3 linked regions of the Astyanax mexicanus genome follow. The protein of the gene in region 1 binds, or shares a complex with, the protein of each later gene. Links are inferred from orthologs where the notes say so. Each region holds a gene or a part of one and is shown on either strand. Other genes may lie near its edges. The genes, in order: snrpe, snip1 and rbm48.

Evidence for each region.
Region 2: snrpe (region 1) and snip1 share a complex: the UniProt entries of both Homo sapiens proteins name them as parts of the minor spliceosome. The link is inferred for Astyanax mexicanus from reciprocal best matches to the Homo sapiens genes SNRPE and SNIP1.
Region 3: snrpe (region 1) and rbm48 share a complex: the UniProt entries of both Homo sapiens proteins name them as parts of the minor spliceosome. The link is inferred for Astyanax mexicanus from reciprocal best matches to the Homo sapiens genes SNRPE and RBM48.

What each region holds. Positions count from the first base shown.
Region 1 is NC_064431.1:7,024,939-7,035,615, forward strand, and holds snrpe (small nuclear ribonucleoprotein E), read right to left. Parts: upstream 5,361-10,677; 5' UTR 5,219-5,360; coding exon 5,165-5,218; intron 4,397-5,164; coding exon 4,370-4,396; intron 4,168-4,369; coding exon 4,105-4,167; intron 2,906-4,104; coding exon 2,827-2,905; intron 1,727-2,826; coding exon 1,671-1,726; 3' UTR 1,472-1,670; downstream 1-1,471. Other genes in the region: yod1 (ubiquitin thioesterase OTU1), read left to right, coding at 6,414-6,519, 7,849-8,076, 8,737-9,434. UniProt on the Homo sapiens protein: Plays a role in pre-mRNA splicing as a core component of the spliceosomal U1, U2, U4 and U5 small nuclear ribonucleoproteins (snRNPs), the building blocks of the spliceosome.
Region 2 is NC_064413.1:32,222,151-32,232,827, forward strand, and holds snip1 (smad nuclear-interacting protein 1), read left to right. Parts: upstream 1-5,562; 5' UTR 5,563-5,708; coding exon 5,709-5,869; intron 5,870-6,605; coding exon 6,606-6,735; intron 6,736-7,104; coding exon 7,105-7,628; intron 7,629-8,157; coding exon 8,158-8,416; 3' UTR 8,417-9,062; downstream 9,063-10,677. Other genes in the region: gnl2 (nucleolar GTP-binding protein 2), read left to right, coding at 649-728, 921-1,055; dnali1 (axonemal dynein light intermediate polypeptide 1), read right to left, coding at 1,427-1,486, 2,196-2,360, 2,482-2,657, 3,443-3,612, 3,703-3,824, 4,642-4,722. UniProt on the Homo sapiens protein: Required for pre-mRNA splicing as component of the spliceosome. As a component of the minor spliceosome, involved in the splicing of U12-type introns in pre-mRNAs. Down-regulates NF-kappa-B signaling by competing with RELA for CREBBP/EP300 binding.
Region 3 is NC_064410.1:48,088,711-48,099,387, forward strand, and holds rbm48 (RNA-binding protein 48), read left to right. Parts: upstream 1-6,111; 5' UTR 6,112-6,145; coding exon 6,146-6,268; intron 6,269-7,051; coding exon 7,052-7,242; intron 7,243-7,688; coding exon 7,689-7,834; intron 7,835-7,924; coding exon 7,925-8,526; intron 8,527-8,616; coding exon 8,617-8,676; 3' UTR 8,677-8,777; coding exon of another isoform or gene 8,778-8,813; 3' UTR 8,814-8,849; downstream 8,850-10,677. Other genes in the region: pex1 (peroxisome biogenesis factor 1), read right to left, coding at 1-64, 1,767-1,886, 2,498-3,198, 3,282-3,396, 4,218-4,301, 4,410-4,550, 4,660-4,767; efcab1 (calaxin), read right to left, coding at 8,778-8,813, 9,015-9,119, 9,208-9,359, 9,446-9,550, 9,639-9,794. UniProt on the Homo sapiens protein: As a component of the minor spliceosome, involved in the splicing of U12-type introns in pre-mRNAs.

The sequences.
Region 1 (10,677 bases):
CTACCATCAGTGATGGTTTGGAGAGACATGTCATCTGCTGGTGTTGAGCCTCTGTATTACAGTGGTTCTTGAAAGTTTATGAACCCTTTTCAATAGACGCACTCCTCTACACACAGTTCATAAAGGTTTTGATAATCATTTGGTGAACTGGATTAGGCATCAAAAGAGGAAACATTTATAACAGTGTATTACTTTGTGTCCTTTGCAGGGGTTGAACAACAAAACTGGTTTTAGAGCACAATAATTTATTGTGGTGACGGACAGTTCTGGTGCTAACAAGAGAGTTAAGGTGCACATTGAATTCTGCCGTGATTTTATGTTTTTTGGATACAATCCGGTTTGCACCTGAACATCCCTTTCAGACAGCTTCCTCTAACAGCGTCCACAGTTAATCCTGTTGGATGTGGTTGGTCCTTCTTGATGGTACGCTGACATTACCCTGGATACCGTGGCTCTTCATGCATCACAAAGACTTGCTGTCTTAGTCACAGATGCTCCAGCAAGACGTGCACCAACAATTTGTCCTCTTTTGAACTTCGTATGTCTCCCACAATGTTGTGTGCATTGCAATATTTTGAGCAGAACTGTGCTCTTACCCTGCTAATTGAACCTTCACACTCTGCTCTTACTGGTGCAATGTGCAATTAATGAAGATTGGCCACCAGGCTGCTCCAATTTAGCCACGAAACCTCCCACACTAAAATGAGAGGTGTTTCAGTTTCATTGTCCAACCCCCGTTTGTCCAGCAAACAAATACTGTGCACTGTAAGACTTATCACTGATCACTGTATGGATGTGTAAGCAAAGGTTCCCATCCTGAAAAACTAGCAATTAGACAATTCCTAATTCATAACTTTTAAATGTTTGGACCCACCTCTACTCATACTGTGTGTTTTCTTTTCTTTAATGTTTAATTGTAAATTTAGAATTGAAGACTATATTAAAGCTATACAGGATCACATGCAGCATTATTGAAGCTTTTCGTAAACAAAGTGTTAAACCATAATATGTTTTATACTTTAGATTATTTTAAATACCACATTTATCTTTGAGGACAGATCTGCACACTCTTGGTATTTTATCTCATAAGGTAAAGTGACTTGGAATAGTTTTCTCTTCGGGACCTTGCAGGAGTTCCTGGAGGTGCTGAACAGTAGTTGCGGCTTTTTCTTCACACTGTGAAGCTCCAGCTCCTCCCAATTAAATCACCTCAAATCACCATCTCAGTTCATCAGATTTAGATCAGGGGATTAATGTGGAGGACGTACACTTTTTTTTTTTTACTACATAATTCCACATGTATCCTTTACTTTTTTTGTGTCTTTAATATTAATCTACAATGTAGAAAACAAATTCAATAAAAAAAAAAACATAAAATGAGAAAGTGTCCAAACTTTTGATTGGTGCTCAATACCACATGAAGGTTTTAAAAGTTTTCCTACAAACATATTTGAATTTTAAATAAAAATCCTTATGTACAAAGAAACAAAAAAAAGTCTTTAATTTGTTTTTATAGAAAAAACATCACTCATCACGAGCACTGCTAAGGTACAAGGAGTCAACATGCTCACAAAAAAAATCATCCCTATCCCCCCCCAAAAGGAAAAATCACATACATGAAAACAAAAATATTCCAAATAAAATTCCATCATCCTGATGAACCTGAACGGCTAATTTGACACACTCTGCAGAAGCGTGATGTTGTCTCCTTTCAACATGATCCTCCCTGTTGGAGAAAAAAAAAAAAAAAAACGTTTCAGTACACCTGCCAGACATGATTCAAACCATGGGAAAAATTGAAAGATGTCCAACACTTCACTGGGGGTAGAAATCACAGAGAATATCAACACAATATTATCATGATATAATAAAATACCCCTAAATAAGCAAATCACAAAAAATTACAGAATTATTGGTGTCAGTTTCACAGAATTTCACAACCAATATTCTTTACTGCAGGTTCACCCTATTCATTTGATTAGTGCCACATGGAGTAACTTTAGTAAGTGAAATTGGGGGGCACTTTTTGGTTGTTTCAAACACAGTGCTGTACATAGATAATTATATAACAAAAACAAACACTAAAACAATAAGACAAAAAAAATAAAAGTAAACATAAAAAACAATTAAGACAGAAAAAATCCTAACCAAACGGAAGCAAAATCTTACTTTAGGTTAAAAGCCAAAGAATTAAAATGAGCTTTTAGACTAGTTTTAAAACGGACTGTGAAGAGGCCTGCCTAATGTGTAAAAGTATGTTGTTCCATAACTTGGAAGCAGCAATCTAAAAGTCTCTGTCCCCTTTAAGATATTGACCATGGCACCTCTAAGAGCAGCTGATCAGCTGACCTGAGGCATCATGCAGGAACGTGAGGATGGAGTAACTCAACAAAGTAAGGTGGGGTGAATCCATTTAAAGATTAAAAAAAAATAATAATAAAAGAATCAGTTTGAATTACAGGCAGCTAGTGGAGGGAGGGCAGAATGGGAGTTATTCACTCTCCCTTCCATGATCCTGTTAAAATTAGGGCAGCAGCATGTTGCACTAACTGGAGGCGTTTGAGGGAGGACTGACTGACCCCAAAATAAAGTACATTACAGTAATCCAGCTGCGATGTAATGAAGGCATTAGTTATTGTATGAAAATGCTCCTGTGTAAGAACTGACTTCACCTCTGCCAGCTGCTTCAAATTAAAGAAAGAAAAAAAAACTGGACCCCACAACTGCACTATTTTAAAATAACTGTCCATCTTAAACAAAGTTAGACATTGTTAGCTTCATAAATAGTGCCAAATACATTGACATAGTCCTATCCCTACTCCTTACCCAGAGTCTTTCTGTTCTTGGTCTTCATGTGGACTTCTTCTGCATCATCCAGAACCAAGTTCATGTACTCATCAAACCCCTACAGCAGAAGATAAAAACAGAAATAGCACTGATAAAATAACATCATTAAAACAAACATACAACAGAGGCCATTAACGAATCCAATACACCCCCCAAAAAATACATTTCACAGGTTAAATACAAACAGACATTAGTCTGTACTGAAAGCTATACATACACACTCTAGTCACATCTGTTCCTCTGCATACATTATTAGCATCCATTCATCCTGTTCTTCAATAGTCAGAAGCCAACAGGACCACCTTAGAGCAAGACACTTGACTGGATATATTTCTAGTTGGTGGAATACTCTAACGCCAGCAATGACACAGAGGTGTTTAAAAACTCCAGCAGCACTGCTGTGTCGGATCTACTTGTACCAACACCAGCAGAACACATACCAACATCCCAAACACATTTGTTATGCTAAACCACAGTCACTGCAGTGCTGAAAATAAATGACCCACCACTGAAATGTGGTGGCCTTGAGGGGTCCTGAGTTTTGAAGAACAGGGTAAAATAAGGATAATAATAAAGTATGCAGAAACAGATGCAGAACTACAGTCTGTACTTATAGAACTACAAATTGCTCTTACTTGCTGGGTGGAACTGATAAGATACACAAAGCAAACAAGGAGAAAACATTACATAGTCTATTTGGTCAGGTGGGCTTAAGGAGCTTTCACATCGCCATCGGTATGCCACATTGCTTTCTGCTTTGCTGGAAGCTAGCCAATTGTGGTTGTGTTGTGCTACTGCTGATGCCAAGGGTTGCCTGATGATAACAGGCCAGTGTTTTTAAAAATGAGTCACATCTACAAGTGTTTTGATGTGTGGTGTAGCTACAGCATCTGTAGACACACATCTGTCTTAACGTCAGAAAAAAAGCATTGATTCTTATCTTTTTCCTGATATTTTTATATGAGTGTAACTAACTGTATTAATCGTCAATATTACTCACTTGCCCATGTTTGGACTACAATGCATTTTCTGCTGTGGTAAGCAGTAGCATGGCAAAGGTATGGTTATGGGTGTGAAAACGCAACGCATTCCACAGTGGTCTTCATCAGCGCCAAACTGTCCTGGTGCTGGGGAAACAACTAACCCATGAGGGTCAGCCTATAGCGGTGTGGCTACTGCTTGCAATGCGAAAGCATGTTATTGCAAAGTACAAATATAGTGTTCTCTGATTAGTTAGGTCAGTAAATAATTACTTACAATAATGCAGCCTTCTATCCGCATGTTGACCTGCTCATAGAGCCAAACCGAGATACGAGATCGCTGCAGAAAAGAGGACAAAAAGATTATTAACAACAGCACAAACTTAGAACCACAATTGTGATACACAATATAACCATTAAATACGGTGCAGTCATAAAATGAGAATAAATTGTCTGCACTTTATTTTATTATTCACATTGTTATCTTATTGTGTACCCACATACAAGACCATTAATAATAACCATAAAAAAGCTGCACTTACATTCTGTAGATACCTGAAAATCAGATTCTGTAGACAGAAGTCAAGGACAAACAACTAGCACAGGCAAAAATCACAATTTAGCAAAGCCATTCTCATTAAATATCGAACTAGTCCACCTGATTATTTCCACACACACACTGCTCTACAACATTTAATACCACAACATATTCTAATTTATTATATGCTATACTATTTATATGCATTTTACTGCATGACCTATGCAAATTACCTTTTGGAATTTACATATGTATATTATATCGCCATTTAACAATTGATCCGTATTGCTCAGCCCCATTGCCTAGATTAGCTTGGTAAGTTTTATCTTGCTTGTAGTCCAACTAGCTAAACTATCAAACTCAAACAAGAACCTGCCCTATGCTCAAAATTACGGATAGATGGATGGATATACAGATAGATAAATATACAGATAAATAGACAGATATACACATAAATAGATATACAGATATGCAGATATACAGATAGAAATACATATATATATGAGTACAGCCCCAACACTAACCCCGTAACTTATATGTAACTAATGTTAGCAGAGTTATTGAATCAGTGCACTCTTTATAAACTCCCCCAAACACATTCTATCTGCAGTAATTTAACCCACCGCGAGTAATATAGCAGTTAGAGTAGTCCGATATAATAAGATAAGCTAGATAGGTTATCTAACGCAGGTAACATTACAGAAGTGAGTAGAGGCTAAGCTAGAGCTAGCGCTAAAGCTAAAGCTAAATGAATGGAGTGGAGCTCCAGCAGTGAATCAGTTTCAGTAGTAAAGGATACGATGGGCTGCACCATCACCTTCTGCACCTTCTGGCCCTGTCCTCTGTACGCCATGCTGCTGATCCGCGGGGCTGGAGCTGCTGCTGTAATATAAATATTATAACTGTAATAACTGGAGAATACAACTCGCCGGGGAACGATCTCCTCACGTTGGTGTAGCAGCGATGGCGGGGGGAAGCGCGGAGAGAGCTGCCTGGGGCTGATTTTTACTACAGCGCCGCGCAGCGACCAGGAGGACTAACCACACAGAGACCGGCCCTGAGACGCTGCCTGCGCTCAGAAACTACTACCTTTACTACCGCTTCTCTCTTTGTTCTTTTTGATTTTACAAACACAGTTCAAACTAAGAAAAGAAGAGGGATTCATATAAAATTGAACTTAAAATTATCTATGGATTTATGACATTTTTTTTTTCTGAGAGCTCTGTTGTGCGACGCGTGATTTATATTCACCAATAGTGATGGGCAGATGAAGCCTCATTGGGTGTATGGCACATTTCCCAAACTGTATCGACACTGTGTTGAAACTGTGTTGCTGTATCACTTAATGGCGACATCTGCTGGACTAAGAAAGTCATTGCAAGCAACTGCGCGAAGAAATGCATCGGTCACATGGTTTTCCTTAAAATGATACGCGGTCTGACACAGGGGTTCGCCTTGTTTGCTCGGTGCATGCGCTGAAGTTTCAGTGTCGTCAGACCCATCGCTACCAAACGATACAGTAAGTGTATCGGTCACGTGGTTTTCCTTAACTTGATACGCGCACCGACACGGGGTTTCGCCTTGACAGCTCGGCGCATGTGTCGAGGTTTCAGGGTCGTCAGACCCATCACTAGTGTTAGCAGACTGTGTTTGCTTATTGTTGTGACTTGAAAATCAGTACACATTTATTGTCCAATTTATGCAGAAATCCAATTAATAGTTTTTTTTTTGTGTGTGTGTGTATATATATATATATATATATATATATATATATATATATATATATATATATATATATTATAGACTATATGTTGCTCTATCACTTAAAATCGCAATAAAATACAACTACATTACAAATACAATTTTGTGTTGTAAGGTGGCAAAATGTGAAAATGTTAAAAGATATTTTCTTATTCTAAATATTGCAGTTATTTTATATTTAAAATAACAAGCTATGTTTTTTATGTAAATACATAAAACGTGTAACTTAGTTAATGTAATAAAACTTGATACATAAAAATAAACACAGACATACGTGGAAAGATGACATGAGCTCAACAACTGCTTGCGTCTGCACTGTTTTGTGCACGCGGTGTGACGCAGTGCGCATGTCAGTTGTTGGCCAGTGTGTTGTTATTTGGAAGGCGCTCCGAGGTGAGAAACGCTACGATATACAGACAATTTAAGCGAATTAACGGTTAAAAGCCACCGTATATGAGCACGGTTCTGTTGGGGACAGATTTGCGATGTTAACTAGGGCGGTATTTGATTAAATAATGCAAAAGTTCATTTAATATTGACGCTGAGATGCTGCTAAGATAACTGTTAGCTTGCTAAACTAAGATAAGCTAGTTGTCTATTATGCTGAATTAAGACCAGCATAGCTAAGCTAGGTTTGGTAGATTAGCTGACTGGCTAACGTTAATGCAACGTTACATTGCTGAGCTAAAATACAGTTCTTATTAATTTGGGTAAAGGGAGTTACAAGGCTGCTTTATTAGAGTTTAAATCTAGTTAACTAGCAAATATTCTAGGTTATTGTAAGATAGCTATATGCTGGGTTGGGTTATGTGGTTTAACGCAGCTTTCCTAGCTAGCTAACGTTAGCTAAGCTACTAACTATTATTAGCTTACAATACCCAGTGCAACATTATTATAAATGAAGCTAAAGCATTACAAGCAGGTTAACAGTATGTAGCAAAATTTGGATACACTTTTAGGGGTTTGCCAAGCTGTTGCATCAGTTTTAGCACAGTCAGCTACTTACCTACCTGACTGTCTGTTTTAGGCAGGCAGCTACCTCACCGACTGTTTGTGGACAATTACAACCAGGTGTCTTTTGTTTATTTCCCTTTTGTTTGGTTCTGAGGCAGTGGTCAGCAGCTTGGTTTATTTAGGTCCCCAAAATCACACTATATCCTTTCAGGAATTAAATTATTTACTCAGGAATGCCTTAACCAAAGGTGTCAAAAGTATTCACATTCATTATTCAGGTTGAGGTATAGATATAGTGGTTTAAAAATACTTTTGTAGAAGTTAAAGTAACAACTCAAGTTTTTTACTCAAGGAAAAGTGTAAAAGTACTTGTTTCAAAGGATCATATAGTGCACTACCTATTCAAATAGCAGCTTTATTGTGATCTGATGAAGCATGTGTGAGAAATCCATTGCGAAAACACCCACAAAAATAGGTGCTCCTTAAAAGGTAAAATTGTTATTAAAACATGGTCAAATTTACGCATATATTTCAATTTTGTTCATATTTACGTCTGAAAGGAGGCAAGGTCTAGGATCTCCTGTAAATAACGATATCTGACATTGTGATTCGTCTTTTATAAATTTTTCGTAATATTTTAAAGAAGGATCACGTTTTCTTTATTTGTGAACTGACAGTTTAACCAGTTGTGAACACGACAACAAAGATGTCCAAGAAGCCAAAGCAAGTAAAAGTAATACTACATCTTTGAGTTTGTTTGTTCCGAAGCAGAACTGAAGGGACTCAGGATGCTGCGACTGAGGTGCAAGGCCAAGAATGGAACCCATCTGATGCAAGGCCTCACGCACCAGTCCTGTGTCCAAGAGCTGAAAACCAAGGTAGAGGAGCTAACTGGAATTCCATGCGACGTTCAGAAGATCATGGTGGGCTACCCACCATCCAGCTTGGATCTTCGCAATGGAGATGCTCACCTAAAAGACTACCCTATAAAATCAGGTGAGGTTTTTATTTTGTTGATTTTTAAACATGAATTGACTTTACCCAGTAGGGCTGTGCAATATAACCAGAAAAAAAAAATCCATATTCATATCTAAATATCATATATATTTGGATATTCTGATATTCTGATAATTTATATTATGATGTAGCACAATTTTTGTTAATTCAGTGAATTTTCTATAAATATTTATTTCATAAAATAACATATAACTATGTATTTATATTTTTTCTTTAACAAGCAGGAAGAAGCGGGAAGGTTGCAGGATGTTTTTCACTTACTATTTGGCAATGTTAGTAAAGTATACACTTTGAAAAATTGGGACAGACACAACAAAAAAAGCACACTAATTTGGGGTTAAACTGTATGGAGCTCTGTTGTGGCTCGTTAGGAGTTTAGGAAAACTTAAAACGATATTTGCATGAGCACTCATCAAAGCTTCTAACGTGCATTAACATGCATAAGCCTGTTTGGGGAGCATTGGCTAAAAACGCTGTATTTTGCAATGCTGGTCGTCACGTTTCAAGTCCATTTCACACCGAATTGCATAGTTTTTGGTATTTGTTCACATTGCTACCTATATCTTTGGTTATTGGAAAGAACATTTACAAAAATGTTTTTTTTGTCTCCCCGCTTTCCCTTCATAACCTCTCTTACAGGAGACACTCTGATTGTAGAAGAAGAAAAGAACAAACCAAAAGTCCAGACTAATGCTGCTCTAACAAAAGTCCCATGCCTAAATTCTTCTCCTGTTCTGGAGCGCCGAGTGGTTCCTGCTGACAACTCCTGCCTCTTTACGAGTGTGAACTACGTGGTGGAGGGGGGTGTGTATGATCCAGCCTGCGCACCCGAGATGCGCGGCCTTATCGCCCAGATCGTGGCCAGTGACGCAGCTGCCTATTCAGAGGCAGTACTGGGCAAAAGCAACGACGAATACTGCACCTGGATCCGGCGTGATGACACGTGGGGGGGTGCTATTGAGGTCTCCATCCTGTCCAAGTTTTACCAGTGCGAAATCTGTGTCGTGGACACGCAAACTGTTCGTGTGGACCGATTTGGCGAGGATGCTGGCTACCAGAAACGTGTCTTGCTTATTTACGACGGAATCCACTACGACCCGCTGCAGAGGGCAACGCCTGGCTCGGACATCCCACCGCAGACTGTCTTCTCCACTACCGACGACATCATCCTCGCGCAGGCCCTGGAGCTGGCTGACGAGGCAAGGAGCAAGCGGCAGTACACGGACGTCAACCGCTTCGCGCTGCGCTGCATGGTGTGCCAGACCGGCCTGGTGGGACAAAAGGAGGCGAGAGAGCATGCCAAGGAGACGGGTCACACCAACTTCGGCGAAGTGTAACAGTTCGCTTTGGATCACCTTTACTGTGCCCTCCCACTGCCACTCGGTATATGTTCTCACCTGAACCCAAACCCAAACTAATTCACAGTTGTGTGTCTCAGCTTGGTGCCGTTTTCTACCTCACAATGTGTTTTAACCCAAAACCCCCAACTTTTCAGTATTAATTACAACTCTTGGTCAACACTGGGTTTTTGACATTCTTGAGCATTACGTTTTGGTGTGTATTATCAGCACAGTATTGCAACAACACCTTTTTATTTTTGATATGTAGCAATTGAGTTTATTGCCTAATGAGGAGTGAGCCTTTTATTCAAACCAAAATGTCAAACATTGCCTTCGTTATCAGTGTTTAAAACTTGCAACACTACTATTGCATAGTTGATAGCCTTGCTGTATTTGTGTGATTATTTCTTTTCTCAATTTTAAGGTTATATTGCACATTTCCGAACAATCGATGGCACTGAATGGTCTTAAAAGCTCACTGGCTCAATAATAACTGTTACTTGAAATAGTCGCAAAGATCAGACAGTGAGGAGCATTCTGTAGTTGTTTATGATTTTTTTTTTAACAGGTAGCTTCTCATGCATAAAGTATTTGAAAAGCATGGGTTGTAGTTTTAGTTAGGCTTCTGAGAGAGTGGATTGTGTAACAAATGGTGCTGATTGTGGACTCACATTATAAACATTATATAGTATAGTGGTGTGGATTTACGTTCCAAACTGCACTGTTTTTATTGTTTGTACAACTGGCCATGCAAAACACCTTTATGCAAGTGGCTACGAAACGTTTTTGCCAAGATTGATTTTTTTTCTTTCCTTCAGTGAAGAATTGTGTCATATCAGATTTTTTGAAGTGCTTGAAAACACTGGGGTAAATGTCGCTGGACTTGGTGACCTAGCCTAGTACAGTAAGTAGTATGAGTGGTTAAACAATACATTAATACATAGAATGTATTTTAGTGCTGGTGATAACTGGAAATACAATACATTTGCAGTCAGGTACTGTCCACGCAAGGCTTTGTATGTTATTTTATTATTTGGATAGTGGGATTGGATGATGTTAAGCTTTAAACATCATCACTGAGCAGAGCTCTAAACAGGAAGTTAATGAAGTAATGGTTACACCATAAATAAAGGATGAATTGATACACCTGCTTGTTTCATTCAACAGGTAAGAGCTTCCATAAGCTTCATCATCTGTGGTGTTATTCTGGGATTGAATTATGCTGCAGTTGCAGAACACA
Region 2 (10,677 bases), on another chromosome or scaffold:
TCGATCTATTTTTTTGCCAATACACCAACTACTTTTTTTTTATTTTATTGTAAGGCTGCTTTCCAGCATAGTGTTTTGATATTTTTAAGTGTAAAAACAAACCAAGAAATCTATCAGATAACTGTGCAATTGAATCAAGTGTGTTTGCCAAAAATCTGTGGTTGGCGGGTTATTTGCTTGTTATATATTTTATATGACGTATGCTCAAATGTTTTTTGTTTTTTTTTGTAAAAATTTTCAGACTCATTTAACCTTATGCCAGATATCGATATAGTGTAGAAATAGATATTGGCCAGTGGTCACCAACCCTGCTCTTCGAGAGCTACCGTCCTTACGGTTATACTTAACACACCTCTTTCAGAATATAGAGAATATTTTATAACACATAAAAATAGTCTTATCAAGTACACTGTAGGTTTACATACTATACATATGGTTCTGCTAGATTCTTGCTGTTCTTTAAAGACTTGACTAAATCAGATTTGCTAGCTTGCATGTGGCCACCTCTGACTGATAAACACATCAGGGGAAGGGACCACACATCTACACACGTTTTCTGGAGCAGTGCAGATTCAGCTTGATCAGAGATTGGTTTGGTGTTTCTAAAGAGCAAACAGTCGCACTCATCAGCTTCTCTTTGTTCTTCAGCTGTGACGCATATCGGCAGAAAGAGGAAAGCTCTGGAAGACGAGGAGACGGCGCGGCCGACCAAACTCACATCTAAAGAGGTACGTGCTGTTCTCCTAGATCCCCTACTGATGTCAGACATCTCATCCATCTATCCAGACACTTCAGATGGATGTGTGCTCTTTATAGTGTTCTAAGGGTAGAGAGAATGCTTCTGGTCTTCCTCAGCCCACATCACTCACATTAATCTTCTCTTTCTTCATTTTGTACTTACTTTTTTTCTCCTCCAACAGAAAAGAAGAATGGAGCGTGCCCAAAAAGTGAAGAAGATCGGGAATCGCTATTATGACACACACAACGTCAAGAACAAAAACAAGAACCGGAAAATGCCCACGGAAGGCAGTAAAGGCAAAAGAGCGAAGCGATAGGGCCGTCTGCTCTAACGCATGTCTTAGTTATGGACTTGGTTATGTTCTCGGACATTGGGTTGGGATGTTGAAAGATGTGTATGAAGAGCATTTACTGTGAGGGTTTGATTAATCTGTGATTAAATTGCCACTTACAGATGCACTTTATTCAAAACATCATCCTTCCACCCACATATAAATGATGGTTCTGAGTCACTACACCTACAATTTTGATCTGTGGTCACTGATTACCTGAGTATTTGTGCCTTAAGAAAATGTTGTTGTTCAACAATATTCAAACTCTGGGTGTTCTTAAGGATGAGTGAAATCATTAATAAACTATACAGATGTGTACATGTCAAACTTTATTAATATGCTGGGATCAAATATGATTATTCGCTGATTGCTGATGATTTTCCTTTTTGGGGGGTGATGATTTCTTCCAGATGGGCCTAAAAAAATAAAAAATAAAAAAAAATTAGTGCTTATACAAAGTATTCACCTCCATGTTTTTCCCCTCTTTTGCTAGTATACACAAGTATAATGTATATATTGTCAATATAAATGTTAGTTTATACAATACAAGATAGTCGGTTAAATAAAACCATATACTGTAAAATAAGTGACTGTATAAATACTGACCCCTTTAAAACTACTGTACCTAATTTAACAGAGGTGCAATCAGTAGATGTTATTAATTTTAGAATTGGTGGAATGGAGATGACTTGAATGCAGTGAACGTTTAAACTAATATATATATACCTGTTTGTAAAGTCCAGTCACTTATAAATTAGTATTCCTGGCTACAAATATAACATCAAGACAAAATAACATTTCGTAGAAAAAAGGTTAACAAGTGAGGACTCGGGAGATGGATACAAATTACATCATTAAACAACCCTTAAACTTCGGTTAAATTTGTCATCATAAAACGTAACGAGTATGGCAAGTAAGAGACTACTTTTACATTCTATTCACATTGCTTTTTCATTTAATTTACATCACTGTGTGGAAATTACTTTTCCCTTTGACTATGTGTTTTCCTCATTTAAGTAAGAATAAAAATGAAAACCATCCAAAGGAGTGAATACTTTTAGGAACTGTACATTTCAGTGTCATACTAAGACAGCATAAGAAGCTGACTGATTGTCATGGATGTACCTTTAGTTGCTGGTTGGTGCGCTTGAGAAGCTGGACCTGTGCCGTGTGCTGTTTCTCTTCAACCTGTCGCCGCTCAGCTTCTTGCCTCTCGATTTCTTCACATTTAGCCTTCTGCTCATTTACCTGCCTTTCCAGATCCTTATTCTTGTTCTCTAAGTCTGCAATCTTAAAGTACAGCTCAGTTACGATTTTGTTTACAGATAAGATATACATAGTACATAGTCTCAGACTAAGGCATTTCAAATAAAATAAAAAATATATGAGAAAGGCAGACTGATGTACTTACTCTCTGCTTGCCTGAAGGCTCTTGCTCAGCCTGTAGGGCCTTCTTTATGCCAAAGGTCATACCGCTAGCATGCAGGGTCTGATAGACTGTGTTGGTCATACGTATCTCATCTCGCACTCGTAGAAGTAGCAACCCCCTCTCAGGACAGTTGATGCTAATCTGCCTGATTAACTCATCTAAAGGACAAATAATATGTTTTTAAATGAGCTGTGTGTTTACATGTCTTGCTATTGTGTATTTCACAAGATTGTGAACCTATGGCCCTAAAGTGATTAAAGAAAAACATTGAATAATATAGATCATAAATCATTCCTCACTTTCTGCTAGTAAAGTACAATGCCACAAGCAAAGCAATGCTTTCAAAAAAGTGGCCAATTGTAGGGTAAATGAAATTGTCTACATTTCATTCATTAAGATACAGTAAGTTATGATTGGAAGCAGATGTCTTAAGTGTTTAAAGCTTCTAAAAATTCACCACAAAAACTACATAAGATGGTTGTGAATAAGTTGTCTGAGCGAGGCCTGATAGTTGGTGCCAAATGGATGGGAAACTCCATTTTTAAAGTTATGCGCCCATATAGCATTCATTTGATCCAAAGTATCACTAGTGAAGAAATATCAGACAGAATTACTAGCCAATTCTAGCCAGATGCCTCCAGTCACTATCATTACCACCTTCAATGAACAGCGCAGTGCTTGGTAATGATTGTGATTGGCAGCATCTGGCTAGAATTGCCTTAATGAACAGATAAGCATCCATATCCATATTAAATGCATTAGACCCCATATGTATATACTGCACCTCAGAGCAGCGTTCTTTAGTATCCATGGGGCATGGAAAAAGACACAATACAAACCCTATGTCCCATGACATCTGGCATGCCAGTATACAGTGCTATCAGTGTCTAGTAACACGTGTACTGTATTAAAAATTCCTCTGGCTGCTGTTTTGTAAACTCACCAAAGCACTGTGAGTAGAGCTCACTGCGCACTGGGCAGATGCCTTTTTCTCTGGCCTGTCTCTGCTGCAGTTTCAGCTCCAGCTGCTCCTGCAGGTGAACCACATCCATCCGTGTGGCAGGAGTGCTGGACACCTGCTGAATCCAGCGCGTGTTGTTCTCTTTCCATTCCCTGCAATATCGGTGCTTATAACCGTTAAACATGAACACATTATGAAGAGCTGTTTTAGAAATAGAGCAGAAGAGGAAAGACATATCTTACCTTGGTGGCAGAATTGCATTGAGTATCTCTTCAGTTTCTGCAGGGGGAGACTTGGGTTTAGGTGGAGGCGGGACGGGCCCAGATAAAACCAGCTGCTGTGGACTCACTTTCAAAGGTCTAGCCTAGATTCGTTGTTTGTTTGATAGAAAAAAATATATAAATGGGATAGTTTATGTACTTACAGGCTCAAGCATGGGTTCAGTAAATATTTATATATTTTTAAATTGTCTTTTCCCACTTCCATTGAATGTTACTGTCATTCTATTAGATCACCACTTAAATAGCTACAACAGTGACAAATTATGTTTATCCATACAATTACATTAACCATCACAGAAATATTAGAAGAAATATTAATAACGTACATGAACATACTGGATCTAACATTATTTAAACCCTTCCAACAAAATCTAAATATTAGCTACTAAGTTAAGAATCAGTTAAAGTTATATTCTTTGCTATTGTTATTGTGAGCTGCCTCATAAAAAAAATGTAACTTTTAAGTCTATATATACACATATTTCAGTTTGTAGCATAAAAAAAGAAAATATAACTTCATAACCTAAATCATTATCATGAACATCATTCCATTTTTTTTACCGAATCACAAAAATATTAAATGCTCTAGAAATTATTTTACTACAGAACAGAATGAGCTCATCGACTCAAACGTAAAATTCAATGAATGAGTATAACTTTAACTAAATTATATAACAAAAAAATAAATTCATATATAAGTATTTGTTAATGTGTTAATATATATGTAGAAGTTAGTATTAGTAAAAGAATACCATTCTGCTGTAAATAAAAATCAGCAAAATGGGGTGTAAGTTACAGTTTTAGATAAAATGTATAGGTTATATAAGTCGTTTTTCAACAAAAGTCAAGACCTCCAATTTGTTACTTCGTTACTTAACTCAAAGGTTTCTTACAGCTTACCCTAGGTGATTTGTTGTCTGTGGTCGGTGTGATCAGCGCCGGAGTATCATACTTCAGCAGAGAGTCGGGGGGAGGTTCCATTTTTACAAAGTGAATTTTAAGTAAAAAAAAAAAGTTTCAGTAACGTTTCAGCTCAGAGGAAATTGAGTATGAGAACTGTTTACATTTACTATGGCAACCCTGGAGACCGTGTGAGAAAAAAAACAACAACCGGTGTTACAGCAAAATCCGGTACCTAGAGGGAGCTGTTTCCTGATATGTTTTTCAAATGAGAGTGCCTCACTCAGCTGTTAGTAAAAACTGTCCCAACATCAAATTCTTCGTTCATTTACAGCTTATGTTAAAACTAACACATGAATGGCTGGAGTGCACATAAGGGTTCGCTCTGACAACGCAGTTTAGACACTTTTGACAGATTTTACTAAAAATCCTTACAACATTTCATAGGCCTTGAATGGTTAGGGTTCTAAATCTACACTCACACCGATAATAAGTGAAAGGTGTACTTTTCTACACTGCAACAGCACAGTACAGGCTATACGAATATATTACAAACAAAGAAATACGTATTTAATGTAAGTAAAGTTGAATACAAACCATACGTATAAAACCATAACGCTGAATCAATTATGATTCAATGGAAAATCGATGTGCACAAATAATTGCATATTTTTGAGGAGATTATTTATGATTATTAAATTTGGCCAAAATTATTATTTATTAAAAAGAAGATTTACACATGTGGGTGGAAATGTATTATTATTTATATGTATTATTTTAATATCTGCCTTAAATCTACAGATACTGCGCAGATTTGAAACAACTGTAGCGGCAGGAGGGTGGTGTTTTGTTTGTGAACTGGATCAGCGTCTCCACCAGGTGGCGATGAAAGTTTCCACAGGGCGGAACTGAATTTCGGTTCCCGCAGGCAGGCCGGGCTGGTTTGTTGAGCGGACAGGGAGCAGATCTGGCAGCAGTGGAAGTTTGTGGTGAGGCATGTAGCTTTAATAAGCGCGGATTCTCAGTTTTAGCTCTATAAAGAGAACAGAGAACAGTCTGTGTTCGGGATGGACTCCAGGAAAAGAGACCGGCACTCCCCTGCGCGCGACGGGAAGATCAGAATTAAAGAGGAGAAAGTTAGTCCCGCTAGGCCGCGGATCGCGCGCCGCTCCAGCTCACAGTCCAGCGGCGCGAGCAGCAGCAGCCCCCCGAGGAGACACGACCACCGGTCAGCCACACTCTATTCTACTATACTCGCTTTCTGCTTAACACACACTGTCTGCCTCTCTCTCTCTGTTAATCTATCTGGTAGTAGTAATTACTAGAAGCAGCAGTAGTAGTAGAAGTAATAGCAATAGTGGTAGAAGCTGTAGTTGTAGAAGTAGCAGTAGTAGCTGAAGCTAATGATAGTAGCTTGTAGTAATAATACTAATTAAACTAGTAATAATAATAGCAATATTTTAGTGTCACTAGAAGGAGTGTTGGAAATTCGGTTAACGTAGTAGTGATAAACACAATAGTCTAATGAGAAAAAGAAAAAGAAGCAGGTTATGTGGACAGAATAAACAAACCTGTGTAACTTATAGCATGGTTTGGTAATATGGCCGTAAAATAATATCATGATATTTCGGGGTATTTTTGTGATAATTATATTGGTGGTTTGACAAGATATGTAATTTAAAAACATTTCAAGTATAAACTACTGCAATAAATGAATATTACAGTTTATATGGGGATACTTTTGTATACAATATGATATGTAGCACCTGTAACTTCAGATTGTAACAGATGTCAATGATCCAACATATCATGCTACTAATAATGCACTCCTTATATCTAGGATTGTCCAGAAGTAAAATAAATTATGATGGACAGATATAATCTCCTGGTCTCTTCTTGCTAAGTATGTTGTTCAATATCTCAACAATCTAATTATTGCCACACATTTTGTTTTCTTTAAACAGAGGAAAAGACAGATCTCCGGGAAGAAAGGACAGATCATCAGGACAGCAGCGGGACAGGGAAAGGGACAGGTCCCCCCGAGGCCAGCGAAGTCGCAGTCCATACCGCAGTTCTGATGTTCGGATAAAGCGGGTGATTCAAACTGCAAGATAGAATGATCATAATTCATTTGGTATTGGACTGGGTGGTATGACCTCACAGTATAGATCATGAGTTTTGTTTGTATATATATAGCATTTAATGGTCCCACCACACAAAGCAGCCCTAAAACATGCAACCAAATCTGTATCAAAACAATGTACTATTTGCAACTTGTTTTCCAGGTTTATTTCCAGCCTTTCATGCAAATAATAATAATATTTATTTAGATCATGGGTTTGCTAATTGCAGAAACACAATTTAACCCATTTTTTTTTGTTTTTCTAATTATGCTTTAGGGAGTAGATAAGTGATGCTGATTTTTTTATACATACTAAGCATAATCTGTGTTTTCTCCTTCAGGAAAAAGATGATCATCGTGAAAGAGGAAATAGGCCTGATGAACGTCGGGGTAGGAGGGAGGAAGAGCGTCAAAGAGGGCCGGAGCGACGGAGAGAGAGGTCTCGTGAACGGGAAGCACGTCTGCAACAGCAAGCAGAAAGGGAACAAAACAATGAGCGTCGCAGAGAAAACCGTCTCCGGCAGGAGGCAGAGGGCGGAAATGAGATGCATGAGTTTGATGGCACAGAGGGAGATGATGTGTCTGGACCTGCTGTTGAGAAAGAGAAGCCCAACTTTGAACTCTCAGGTGCTTTGGTGGAAGACACCAACACATTTCGAGGAGTTGTTATTAAGTACAACGAGCCACCGGAGGCCCGAATCCCAAAGAGGAGATGGCGACTGTACCCTTTTAAGAATGATGAGCCACTTCCAGTCATGTACATCCACAGACAGAGTGCATATCTCCTTGGAAGACAAAGAAAGATTGCCGACATACCTATTGATCACCCCTCCTGTTCAAAACAGCATGCTGTGTTTCAGTACAGGTAAGGATGCTTTAAAGAAATAGGTGTATGTGCCTGTTCATTTTACTGTACTGGCATTGGCAGCCTTTTTTCTTTCTTTCTACCTTTTTGAGAAATTGGAGGCACCGCATTGACTAAAACACACGTCAATATTTAAAAAATCCGGTTAAGTCACCCCATTTGTCCAAACTTTTCTTTTTAACTGACCAATAAACTGAAAAAAAAAACATTACTTAAATTGGATTGTGATTTTTATTTTTTAAGACAATGTAAATAAAACACTTTTATGGCAGATTCGTTAATTATTTTTTTTTTAACTAATGTCTCACCTGCATCCCCCCTGCAATTCCATGTGATAAGAAAAGGCTATTTGAAAAGACAAAAACTTTGAGAAATAATGAAAAAAAAAAATTGATAAGCTCAACTTGTTTTGTTATGGCTTTTGTAGCCTGGAGTCCCATACAGTATAATTTTTCAAAAGTAGCGTGTAAATCCTCATGAATTTGTGATATGATTTATTAATGTAATACCTGTTGTTTGTTATCTCCAGGTTGGTGGAGCACAAACGAGCTGATGGTACCACAGGCAGGAGAGTAAAGCCGTACATTATTGACCTTGGTTCAGGCAATGGAACATACCTGAACAACCAGCGTATTGAATCACAGCGGTACTACGAGCTCAAGGAGAAAGATGTGCTGAAATTTGGATTCAGCAGCCGCGAGTATGTGCTCCTGCATGAATTCTCAGACACCGCTGAAGTTGATTCCAAACAGGAGCTTGATGAGGAGGATGAAGGGCTTGATGAGTAGTCACCACTCAAAGTTCACCAAAGTACTTTTGTTGTGTGGGACTCTTTAAAGGAGCCCTGAATCAATGATCAAGATCGCTGTGATTGACCCAGAATTTAATGGGTTGTTCTTTTATTAATGATTTTGACATTACTATTATGTTGTGGACAAGGTCTGTAAAAACTTGACTGGTGTCAGTCTGACAACTTTCTGTGTTTAACTCTTATTCTCAGGTGAACAGCATCAGCTTCGGATTGTCTAGCACTGCCCATTGTAGTAATTTCAGATCAAGTGTTCAGTGCCAGAGCAAATGACTTAAAAATATATATTTTGGATAATTATAATTTGTCAATAAAAGGTTTCCATCCAGACTTTTTCATTGTAAATACACTGGATGTAGGCAACGTGAGCATTGTTTCACTTGTTTTAGTTTCTATGATTTATTTGATATCAAAAGCTGTTTGTAGTTTGTAGACATTCTTATTTTAAAGTCTCATAGCAGTAAAATGTCTTTATTGTTGCTTTGTAAAACTAAGACAGCTTAAGACTGTATTCTGGTTCATATGTGATGACATTGCTTGAACGTTTTGGGTTGCAGATCTGTATGCATTTTTAGATGTTTTGTATGGTAAAATAAAATAAAAAACAAGCAATAATGATTTTTTTCTGATTCATTTGAATAGTAAAATAACAATGTTTATATACATTATGTATACAAAAAGTTTATATGTGATGTAAAGTTCAAAGCCTGTGAGAAGGGCCATGTACTGTGGTAAGAGTGTGAGTTCCTCAGGTTTTTATTTACAAAAAAAGAAAAACTACAGAAAGCAGATGGAAATGTGATTGCTGGTTGCTAAAATTTAATACCCTCTGTAAAGCAGTTGAATACTCTTGCTGCTCAGTAATGTAATTAACATGATCATAATGCAAATGAATGGATGTATTTACAGTAAGATTGCCTTGGGTAAAATGCATTTTATAAATAAACTGAAAATAAAAATTCCAGTTAAGGCCAAGTCCTAGCAAGTTCAAAATAAATGTTATTGGACACTTGTCGGCTTGGGTAAGTTGTCCATGTTTTAACAAAGTATTTTGGTTTCCAACAATCACATAATACAGCTACAAGTTACTGGTGAAACTGTGAAAGTTCATATTTTACAGAATTTGGCCAGCTTGTTATATTGAACTGGTATTAACTGCCTTGATTCCAAGTATAATTAAAACAGTTGCCTTCGAGAAAAGCTTTTTGAAACATTATAGACATGATTTACACATATGTTGAAATGCCAGCAGGATAATTATGCGAGAATTTGTACTGTAGCTGTTCAGGTTGCCATATTATGGAAAACAGGTTTCCCCACATTTCCAAAAATACATGTTGAACATATAACACATTTTTAAAACATACCACTAACTCAGGTTCATACTGTCTGTATGTCACTTTTAATTTTATTTTATATTTCATTCATTTAATTGCAGCAGTTGTTCTTGGAATTGAGTAAAATAATTACCCCCTAAATTGCTTTAAAAATATATATTTAAAAAATCTTTTCATTAACTTACATATTGGATATTAGCCATTTTACTGTACACTCATTGCTCAGAACAATATATTTCCCAAAAATGTATAAAAATACATGTTTAAAAAAATAAGTTGATTGTATATTTATATTAAATTTCACAGAGTAACTTTTTTTTTTTTTTACCCCGTTTTACTTAAATAGCAAGTTCTATATGTTTGGAGATAAGAACAATGTATACTGCTAAATGGAATTCATGCTTTTCCGAGTCGTTTTTTCCCCCACCAGGGTTTATATAAAACAGCCCGTTTAAATAGTACGTTTACTTTACCGTTGTTAGAATAAAATAACAGATTAGAAAAGTACATGCATTTTCTGCTTTACGGGACTTTTGTTTTGAAGTGGAGCAGGACGGTGACCCGGCTGTTGTGTCGGCGGCGTTTACTCACGTTGGGGATGTATCGTTATTTCGTGCTTTTTTGCTGTTCAGTGCAACTCATATTTGTGTAATTTAAAACATTTTTAATTAAAATGTTTAGTTTGTATTTTGGTAGGATCGAGTTGCCTTTTAAGCTTTAGCTTAGGAGGTATAAAGTAACTCTTTATTATGTAAGTTAAGTTAACCAAGTGCTACCTAAGGCTAGCTAGTTGGTTTGCTATTCGAATTGATTATTTTAAAATTATTAAGTATTAAATAATTATTTGTTATAATAAATAAAAGTCTGCATTTCTGGGTTCAAACTCTAAACGCCTGTAATTGTT
Region 3 (10,677 bases), on another chromosome or scaffold:
GGCTCAGAGCATGAAGCCAGCCTAGAAATGCAGACTGAACATCCTCTTCTTGCTCAATCTCAGTCTGCAGTAAGAGAAACACACTTATTATTGATTCCTTTTTAACATATCAGATTTTTTGCACTATAAGGCGCACTTAAAACCCTTTTAATCCTATAAATTTTACCAGGTCAGGTTTTCAGTAAAGCCAGTTTCTCCTGCACTGAGGCTGAAGCAGTATTAGCATTAGTCACTAACCACAGTGCTAGATCTTTCGCCATTCAGAGGTGAGTATATGTAGGGCGTGTTTACTGTGTTAAAACAAGCTACGTGGGATGAACCGCAAGCTGATAGCGCCCTGTCTTACCGGAACACTCAGGATTCCTCATTCTAGCTCTGTCGGGCATTGTTTACTAGTGCTAACTGCTGCTAAACACAAGCTAACCACAACTAGCACTCACCTAAATAAACAGTTTTCAGGAGAGAAATCTGTGTAGATTAAAATCCAATGCTTGTTTGACTTGAAAGACAAAGTTTTTTTTAAGAATTGCAGTTTTGTTTACATAGGCACTTCCCCCTGTGGCGAGACCTGCTGAACTAGAACGGAAACATGGCGACACCCTTGTATCTTACTGTTATCGCTTGATTTGCACCTTATAATCCGGTGCGATTTATGTATGACACCAGACCATAAAATAGACCATTTTTGATAGTGTGCCTTATAGTCTTTTAAATACGATATGTTTTAAATATAAACATATAGGTGTTCTCACATAGCAATTCATCAGGCAGAGATATACATCTGCTTATTCACGCAGTGATCTAATCAGTGCAAAGCATTCACAAAACAGCAGGTGGATACAAGTCAGCAGCTTCAGGAAATGTTTACATTAATCATCAGAATGGGGAAGAAATGTTATCTCAGTGATTTTAAGCAGTTCCCGGAGTTGACCCTGAGTGGTGTAATAAAAAAATAACATCATGTGAGCTGCAGTTTTGCAGACAGAATCTCTTGCTGATGAGAGAGGTCAACTGAGAACGGACTAACTGGTTCTACCTCAGGAAAAAATATATATAAACACATATAACACTGGCTATGTTTACATGCAAAGCTTTTCTCCTATCTGAATAAATTATGTGCACGCTACAAGTAATCCAATCAAACATGACGCACATGTGTAGTATCGCTTAGTGTACACGTAACCATGACAAGGACAACGGGCCGCACGTGATGCCAGCCAGCGTGAGGGGAGCAACAGTAACTGGATAACTAGTTATGTTTCCAGAATTTGCAGCTGGTAAGCTTGTTTTTTCTAACAGCGTTAAAATTATGGCGGACTCCATAACAACCTAATTCACAGTTTCTTTTTAAAGAAGGGTAGAGACGAAGAACTTACGTCCTCAATGTCTTTGAACATTCTGAGGCAAGTGAGCTGGATGCCAGTCCCACCGCCCATGACTAGGAAGCAGTGGATAAAAGTGAGGAGTGATGTTCAGCTTTATAAACTTCCTTCGTGCAGCACATGTACATGCGCAATATTTACTTTCGGACTGGAGATCTAATCGGGTACATGTGTTTACAAGGCTATTTTTTGTTCTATTTAATGGATTATTTAAAGGATTATCCACCTCGTTCAATCAAATAGAAATTGCATTCAGAATGACCTTTACACGTTTACACGCACGTGTTCTACTCTGATTCAGCTATTAGTCCGACTATTAACAGTTTATTATAAATGAACTGCGTTTGTCTGATATTTCAAGTTAAGAGAGAAAGATACACTTACTAGTGTTCGTAGTGGCTGAAGTAAGACAGCCTGTGCAACTGCAGGGGTGCACGTTAGAGGACGAACTCTCACGGCAGAATGCAGGCCTATGCTCAGCCTTGATCGTAAAATGTTTGGGATCTGTGAAGAGAATAGAATAAAAAAATAAATGTATTATTTTTTACATTTTTATTTATTCATCATTGCACTGATTTGTGGTCAAATAAAGTTGTTATGCTGCTTCTTTAATTGCAATGTATCTACAGAGTACCAAATGATTTCCACACAAAGGATCCCACAATCTTTTTTGAAATTTAACAAAAAAGGTAACTTATGTAGCAGTTGTGATATTATAAAGATTATGATTATGTATAATTTCCAAAAATAATTTAGAATAAATAAAATCACAACATATTGCCCAGCCCTATGTCATATGAAATCTAAAAACATGTGCACTGTTACTTTCCTAGTACACAAGTCCAATTGCTGTCCAATAAAAAAACATATATCATAAAAACAACAACTTAAATGGGAAAAATAAAAAATTTCTTTCAATGGACGTAAATGTAAAAACAAAAAAAAAAGTTTATTTCAGCTAATTTTGGGAAATTTCTATTGGCCCATTCATCCAGAATTTTTGACAAGGCACACGGGGATAAATGTTTTTCATTAGATACTTAAGATTAGGTTTTTATAACAAATGTTTTAGACTAATTCTAGAAAAGTAAAGTGTATCAGTGTATAACACTTACCCACACCTTCCCACAGTAAATCTCTCTCATTCCTGAGGATCTTTGGTCTGCTTCCAGCTTTTCTGTGTTATGGCAAAGGATCTTGACCACCACAGACTCCTCCACTGGTTCCTGTGCTTCCTTTTTAGGTTGAGAGCTATTTCCACTCTTTTTCTTCTCCATCGCTTGCTTGGCTTGCTCTCTCACTTCTTTGGGAGAATGAATTTTAGAAACTCTACCATACGTTAACACTGGCTGTTGTGTACTCCAATAGTCATACTGTATTTGGTCCCATGGCAGCATGTGAACATCTCCATGATTTGGGTCAAGATGTCTGATTGCTCCGGGTGGGGTTCCACACACTCTCAGGACACAATCTGGGAAGACTGCGGGGACAGTGGGCACTTCTGGAATCTCCTTGGCGGGCTCATATTTCCCTGTGAACACATATCTCACCAGGCTCTGCAGGTCAGGTACTCCAGCCCAGTGTCTCTGACTGGGCTCCGGCTGATTGTGAATGGACTCAGAGAAAGAATCAGTTCCTGTGGAGGAAGGTGTGGAGGAGGATCCACGGTCTATGTTCTGCTGCCTCTGCAAGACCGGGTTCTTTGTATCTGGAGAAACTGGGGCAAGCTGCCTGCCTCCATGCCGGAGTTTGGGGGAAACAACCAGCTCAGTGAACTGCTCTAATCGACCATACGGAACAGATGGAGACAGGGAGACTACAAGAACAAGAGGTACAGCAATTTACAGACAGAACTGAGGATTTTAAAGAAGTATTTAATAAAAAGTGTTTGAAACAGACCTATCCTGATGTAGATGACAGTGTGTTGGTCAACCCACACAGGAAACACCCCAGAACAGAAAACGACTCGAATCTGGTCTAAAAGGTGCTGTTCCAGAGCTGTGCTGTGAAGCTCCTGGAAAACAAAGGCATTAGGTGTCATCAGTAAAGGGCAGTAATGAAGTAAATGTAATTAGTTGCTGTATATAAGTATTTTTTTGTTATGTGTGTATATAAACATGGCTGAATAATTTTAATTTTAACTCCACTAAAAGTAAACTTTAATATCTAACTTTTTTACTTTATAACATTATCCAAAACGTGTTGTTCCTTTTGGTTTAGGTGTGTAAGAAAAAGGGAACATGTCAAAACAAAAAAACATGAAGTGAGCAAACCAATATGGTTACAGCAGTGACTTATTTTTAAATATGTTCTGACCTGTTGTACTGTATGCTACCCTGTGCAAGCATAGTGCATCAGTGCAACAGTGGAATTTATAGAATATACAGATACATAACAGCAAAGAAAAAACAGTCTAAAAAGTTGTATTCAACTTAAACATGTAACTAAGTTGTAATTAAATCTTGGGGTGTTTTCACACCTAAAAGTTTGGACCAGAGTCTGCACTGAGGTTTGTGCCTTTGTTACATTTTGTACATTGGGTCCGGTTAGTTTTGGTTTCACACAGCAGTTTAGTAAGCAATAAAAGCACCCTTAAACTAAAACTTGGTCCCAACCTGGGAAGTTAATCCAATTAATTTGATTAACTGAATCTTACTGTTTAATTAAATTTTCAAAATGGGACAATGAAGATCGTACACCTTTACATATAGAAGCTGCCAGAGTGAATACAAAACAGAGATGGTTCTGATTAACCTACTCTCCTATTCTAAGAGTCAGCCTATCAGTTTTTAGTGTGGGTGGGCAGTGTTTTTTTATTTGGTGAATGAGACTCACCAGGATCTCCCAGTCATCTGAGGACAGAGGCTCTACAAACACCTGCTGCACAGACTGTACCTGACTACATGGACGCAGGAAGCCCTGAAAAACATCAAAAACAAAAATAAAAAAACAAAATAAAAAGCAAATCACATCAACTTAAATTACAGTTAACTGTAATACAGACATTTATCCAACTCCAGAGTTTACCTGTTCTCCTTCCTGAACTCCCAGTTTCTCCCCTAACTGTCTGTTCAGCTCAACCCTGTCCTCCTGACCTGCTGCGTGGCTTCTTATCCAGCTGAGGAACACTGGAGCAGATGATCCCCAGGACAGCTCCAGGGCCTGTGACTGCATATGACAATAAAAACAGGACAGTTAGACTAGACTAGACTGCACCCCAAGTTAATAAAGCAGGAGCAGCGTAGCCATACTATCACACACCCACTCTCACACACACCTCTCTGAGGGAGAGCTGAGACACTAAGTTGGATGGCAGGTGGAGAAAGCAGTTTTTGGAGTTGTTGAAGGCCAGAGTTACTGGCTGGATTCCGCAGTTCCCCAACATTGCATAAAGAGGAGCTTTAAAGCCTCTTTTAGCGCTGAAAGACTGTATAAATCAGCACTAGTGTTCAGGACCTGCTGCACTACAGAGGATCAGGCGCCATGCTGAACATGTCAATACTGTCAGACAGACCTGACCAATCCATCCACCAGCGTGCGATCATCACTACAATGTATATGAAGCTCAGTATGCCCTAACAAATAATAAACATTTAAACATATTTTCACATTTTAATATTTATTTATATTTGAAATATTGTTTTTAAATGGTCACAAATAATCAAAATAAATTAGGGAAGGTATATGTATATTTAAATGAACTAAAAATGTTACATTTAAAGATTTTTAAATTAAATATCATTTTTAAAAATGTGTTAGCATGTATCTTACAGAATTTAACAGGTCCTGTCATTAGAAAATGAATGTGACATGAAGGTGATATAGTTTAAAAGATCAATCTGCCCACACAAATAATAAATATTAAAAATATATGTTTACATTTTTATATTTTTTTATACATTAAATATTTTTTATTTATACATTTATATTTTTATCATAAAAATAATACAAATAAAATTGAAAGGGTATATGTTTATATTGTTAATAAAATATTCATACATGTAGGACATTTAAATTATTAAAAATATTAAAGGTTAAAATAGATTTTTTTTCTTACCATTTCACAAATGCATTAGCATGTATATTACATGATTTAATAGGTTTTTGTCATTAAAACAATGATTATCTAGGTAATGATAGTTTTAAATGTCTCTCTGCACATTCAGAATACAGAAACATTCAGAATATATTTAAGGCAAAAGTGTGGGAAACATACATCACAAAATATATTTCTTAATTTTGGTTGACACGCTACAATTCTGATATCAATATGAAAAGTATAAATTTGGGTTTCCACCCATGCTGTACATATTCACACACTGATAAATATTTTACACAATATTTAAAGACATTTTCACAATGCACAGTATTCAGACAGTATTTAGTATTTATTTAAATGTATCAGCAGTAGCATATTCTGCTATTAAATGCTCTTTCACAATGTTTTGTACAGTGATTATTAATTAAATCACTCTCTGTAATAAAATGTATGATTGGGTCAGTGTTCTTTAAGTAATGATGATACATCCTCGATTTCTCATGATACGATATTATATATATTGTACTATATTTTAGTACAAAAATATATACTATTGTCTATTTTTGTATTTATTAAAATTTTTATTTAACATTTTTTATTACATGATTACAGTTTATTTCAGTATGTGTTTCTCGCTGAACGTGGATCACTATCTGTGATTGATTATTCGGGTCTGGGTCTGTGTTTAGTTCTGCGCTGTTGTCGGGGACGCTGGGTAATCATCATGGCGGCTCTGAAGCCGGGCTCTGTGTGGGACACACCGCAGGTCTACAAACACCACGAGCAGCAGAGCGCCTGTCTCACCCGCCCGAAGTACAGAGAAGGGAGGAGACTGAAGGCTGTGAAGGTCAGTGAGCTGTTTTTACTGAAACTCCGTACTGAGAGGAGAATAACGGGCCTACAGCCCCAGTGTTTAGACTGCTAGCCTAGCTTAAGTTAGCTGTTTGGCTACACGAGCCTCCCTGTCATCACTGAATCTCCCCAAATCTATAGTTAGTTAACAGAAAGATAGACAATACATAATATATAATGAAGTATATATTATCTGTATACTGAATTATATAGCTACAGTACCAGTAAAACGTTTAAACAAACCTTCTCATTCAATGTTTTTTCTTTATTCGTTTATTTATTTGTCTTTTCTACATTCTAAATTAATATAGATCAAAACAATTAAGGGACACGTAGAATTAATCAGAAGTAATCAGAGAAACAAATATTGATTTCTGAACTCTTAAAACTTTATGAATATGAACTTGTTTTCTTTGCATTATTTGAGGTCTGAAAGCTCTGCTTCTTTTTTGTTATTTCAGCCATTTCTCATTTTCTGCAAATAAATGCTTTACATGACAGTATTATTTGGAATTATAGTTTATAGAATAAAACACTAATGTTCATTTTACTCAAACATATAACTATAAATAGCAAAATCGGAGAAACTGATTCAGAAACTGAAGTGGTCTCAATTTTTTTCCAGAGGTGTATATATAGGGACAGTTTCCCAGACAAAGAAGTCTAATCTTGGGCCGCATATATTTGTGAATGGAAATGTTCCACAATAAAGCAAAACAGTCTACGGCTCGGCTTAATCCTGACTGTATCCTGTATCTTCTGCTTTGTCAATCTGTAGGTTTATACGATTAACCTAGAGTCTCGGTTTCTGCTGGTGCAAGGAGTGCCTGCTGTTGGGGTAATGACTGAGCTGGTGCAGCTCTTTGCTCTCTATGGAGTGGTGGAAGAATACAGAGTACTGGATGAGTATCCTGCAGAACAGTTCACTGAAGTTTATCTTATCAAGTTCCAAAAGCTTACAAGTGCAAGGTGAGAATAAAACCTCAAACATGGAAAGATGTAAATCATACAGTAGATAGCATGGTTAGATTAAAATTGTCACTTGTGTTTTATTTAAAATAAGAATAATTTAGCATTTTTCTTAAACCCTGTAATGTGCATGTATTTTACTTAGGCTAAATAGTTTCATTGAATGTTGCCATTAAACCATATGCCAAACCATATTAAAATAAAATTTAAAAAACACATCCCCATTATACATCATAGATAGGATAGTATTTCGAAGTAGTATGACCGTTCTATTGACACACTCTCCTTGGTTTAGACATGCCTCTTAAGATGTTATCAAATGGACATTGTATACACATGTCCTCCTTGGTTAAGACATGCCTCTTAAGATGTATCATGCATGTTTTCAAGCACATTTTAAGATATCCCAAGATCTGTTGATAGCTGAGTAATTTTGTCTGTTTCAGGGCTGCCAAAAGAAAAACAGATGAAAGAAGCTTCTATGGGGGTCTGCTTCATGTTTGCTATGCCCCTGAACATGAGACTGTGGAAGACACAAGAAGGAAGTTACAGGACAGGAGAAGATATGTTTACAGAACAACCCAAAGATTAGGTATTTTGTACGCTTGCATCACACACATTTTTGTTTCTGCAATCCATGTAATTAACCAGTTTGTCTGGTTGTACTGCACCTTTATTACAGAAAGGGAATGTGAGCAAGAACAGGCTACAGAGAAAACAACTCCTGCCAGTTCAGAGACACCAGCTCCATCATCAGTGTATGAAGATAGGACATGTCCTCGAAGTTCCCAAGAGGACAATTGTAGTTCCAGCACATCTTCTAGCTTTCCATTATTGCCGCTACCACCTCATGAAAGAGTTCATCAGCACTATTTTTCATCTAAGGACTCATTTAAGTCTGTGAAGACTGTACATGAAGGCAGTGTACCTACAGAAGATAGAATGGGATCTTTACACAACTTCATCCCTAGTAACCGTGCCCCAGATGATTGCAAGCAGACCACACAGTGGTCAGACCTGCCTTCTGGTTCTACCTTTGGCAACGAAGAGAGAAGTATTATCAAAAAACCCAAACATCCGCCAAGCACTGCACCAAGGTTTATACCAAGGACTGCACAATTAGAAAACAGGAAAAGGAAAATGGAGGACAGTACAGACTTGTTAGGTGTGGCAGACAGAAATGCCCCCTTGTATGGACCCAAACTACCAGAACTACCAAAGATGGACATGGAAGATGCATCATTAAACAAAACGGCAAACATCATCAGGCAAACAATGTCAAAGGTCAGCATTATAAGTATTTTTTTTTACTGTTATGAATGTTATAGAATAGTTAAAACGTATGTCTGAAATTGTCTCTCTTTTTCTTTTTAGGTTGCATCAGTTCCATCTGAAAAGAAGACAACAGCTGTAAAAGCACGGCGAAGAATATAATTTTCTCTTGTCTTCAGTGTGCATTTTTTATTGATGTACTGTAATAGTGGTTTATTGTAAAATAGCACTGTTCATTTTTCTTTATATGAGTGATTCACTTGTTACTGGAAAGCATGTTGCTCAAATTCCAGGGTCCTCTGAAAACAAACAAAAATACACATTTATTTATTAAATTGTATTTTTCTATAAATGTCAAAATAAAAAAAATCTGAAGACAGACAACTGTCATTTTAAGTATTATTACAGTAAGATGGATGGTATAGTAAGAATATTAAATTATTAAAACAATAATGACACTCATGCAGAACATTGCAAAACGTAAAATTTAACAATTTTACCTTTGCATCAGGAAGACAAGTTCCGAAAGCTTCTAATAGCAGATTTTCCTCTCTTACAGACTTCTCAAAATCACTATATGAAAGTCTGCTGTCATGGTCATAATCCTGAATGCCGAAAACAGAAATCATTTTTAGTGTATCTGTTATATTTTTGACTGACTGTGCTCAACTATCTCCCCAGCTGTGGTCTCACCATTTTCTTTAGTATTATTTCCACAAGGTCCTTAATCCCTTCATCAGGTTCTTCTTCAGTCGGCTGTCTGATCAGACTGTTCTTCAACATGTGGAACATTTCCTCCCTCGATATGTAGCCATCTCCATTAAGGTCGTACACCTCAAAACAGTCTGATCGTTTTAGAGAAATGAGCATGGATTAAGAACAGTGATCTGAGAATTATCTTCATCACACAATCTGTTCAGCTCAGTCTTACATTTGATCTTTTCATCCAAGGTGCCTCGAAGGAAGACTGACAGTCCTTCCACCCACTCCTTTACACTGATATAGCTGTCATTGTCGCTGTCGAAGGACCGGAAGACTGTGTGGGTTGGAGAAATGTTGGCTTTAGAGATGTGATATTGACTTCTACAAGTTCTAGCCTTTACATATAGAAATAGTTCCCTTACCTCTGTCCATAATCATGTCGTCTGTCAGTCCAAACGTGTTGTGTAGGATGTTTCTGAATTTTCCCCGGTCCAGACCAAGCCCTGCTCTCTTCTCTGTCTGCCCTTCCAGCAACTCATTAAAGAGTCGAATGAGGCACTCTGCCTCTGTTTTATTAACTAGAGTAAGAGGATTGTTCTGGTTATACTTATTGACTTTCAGATAATGGCAGAGTTGGACAAACCATGAGCAGTATTAAAAAAAGATTTAAGTAGAGAATAATGTACAGAACTGCAATCAGAACATCTTACAGGTCATATTAAAATAATCAGCATGAATTGGTACACAGATAAGAGGTCATTGAAATAGTACATATCTCTTTTTGGGCTCATTGTTGTTTAAATTGTTAATTAGAGACCTTAGGATTGTATGGGTATAGGCTGTATATACACTGACATGTCAAAAGTCATGAGGTAGCAGAATGTAAATTGTTGATAAAGTGTTACATTATTACATTAATGTAATAATGATCGTGACCTGCAGTATCTGGCTAGAAAAGGAATGTATTATACGTTTATGTTGTCATTAAAACTGCTGGGTAAGAAGGCTTGGTTCTGTTTTATGGAAGAATTAGAGCTGCTACAGGTGTAGGCTTTTATATACTAATAGACAAAATAGGACATTTTTCTCTGACTGAAATGCAAAGAAGAGTTTACAGGGTTCTCACTCTTCAGAAAATGAATAATGTCCATTCCTGAAGTAAACACATACAATTTTACCTAATTCAAATGTGCGACTCCTTGGTTTTAGAGCTGTACTTGGACATGAAGAAAATTGGTGAAGTGGGTGGATGCCACTGTTTTTTGGGTGCCTCCGTGTCTGTTACCTTCTGGCTCTCTCCCTTTAGTTAGGCTGTTATATTCAGATTGGCCGGAACCACACTATGAAAATGTTGCATGTTGCTTGTTCTTCATGAATCCAGTCACCCACCACAGATCAGCTGCCCATGGCCCAGTTTATGCCAACGATCTTGGACTAGTTGCTCACTTTTTTCACTACTGA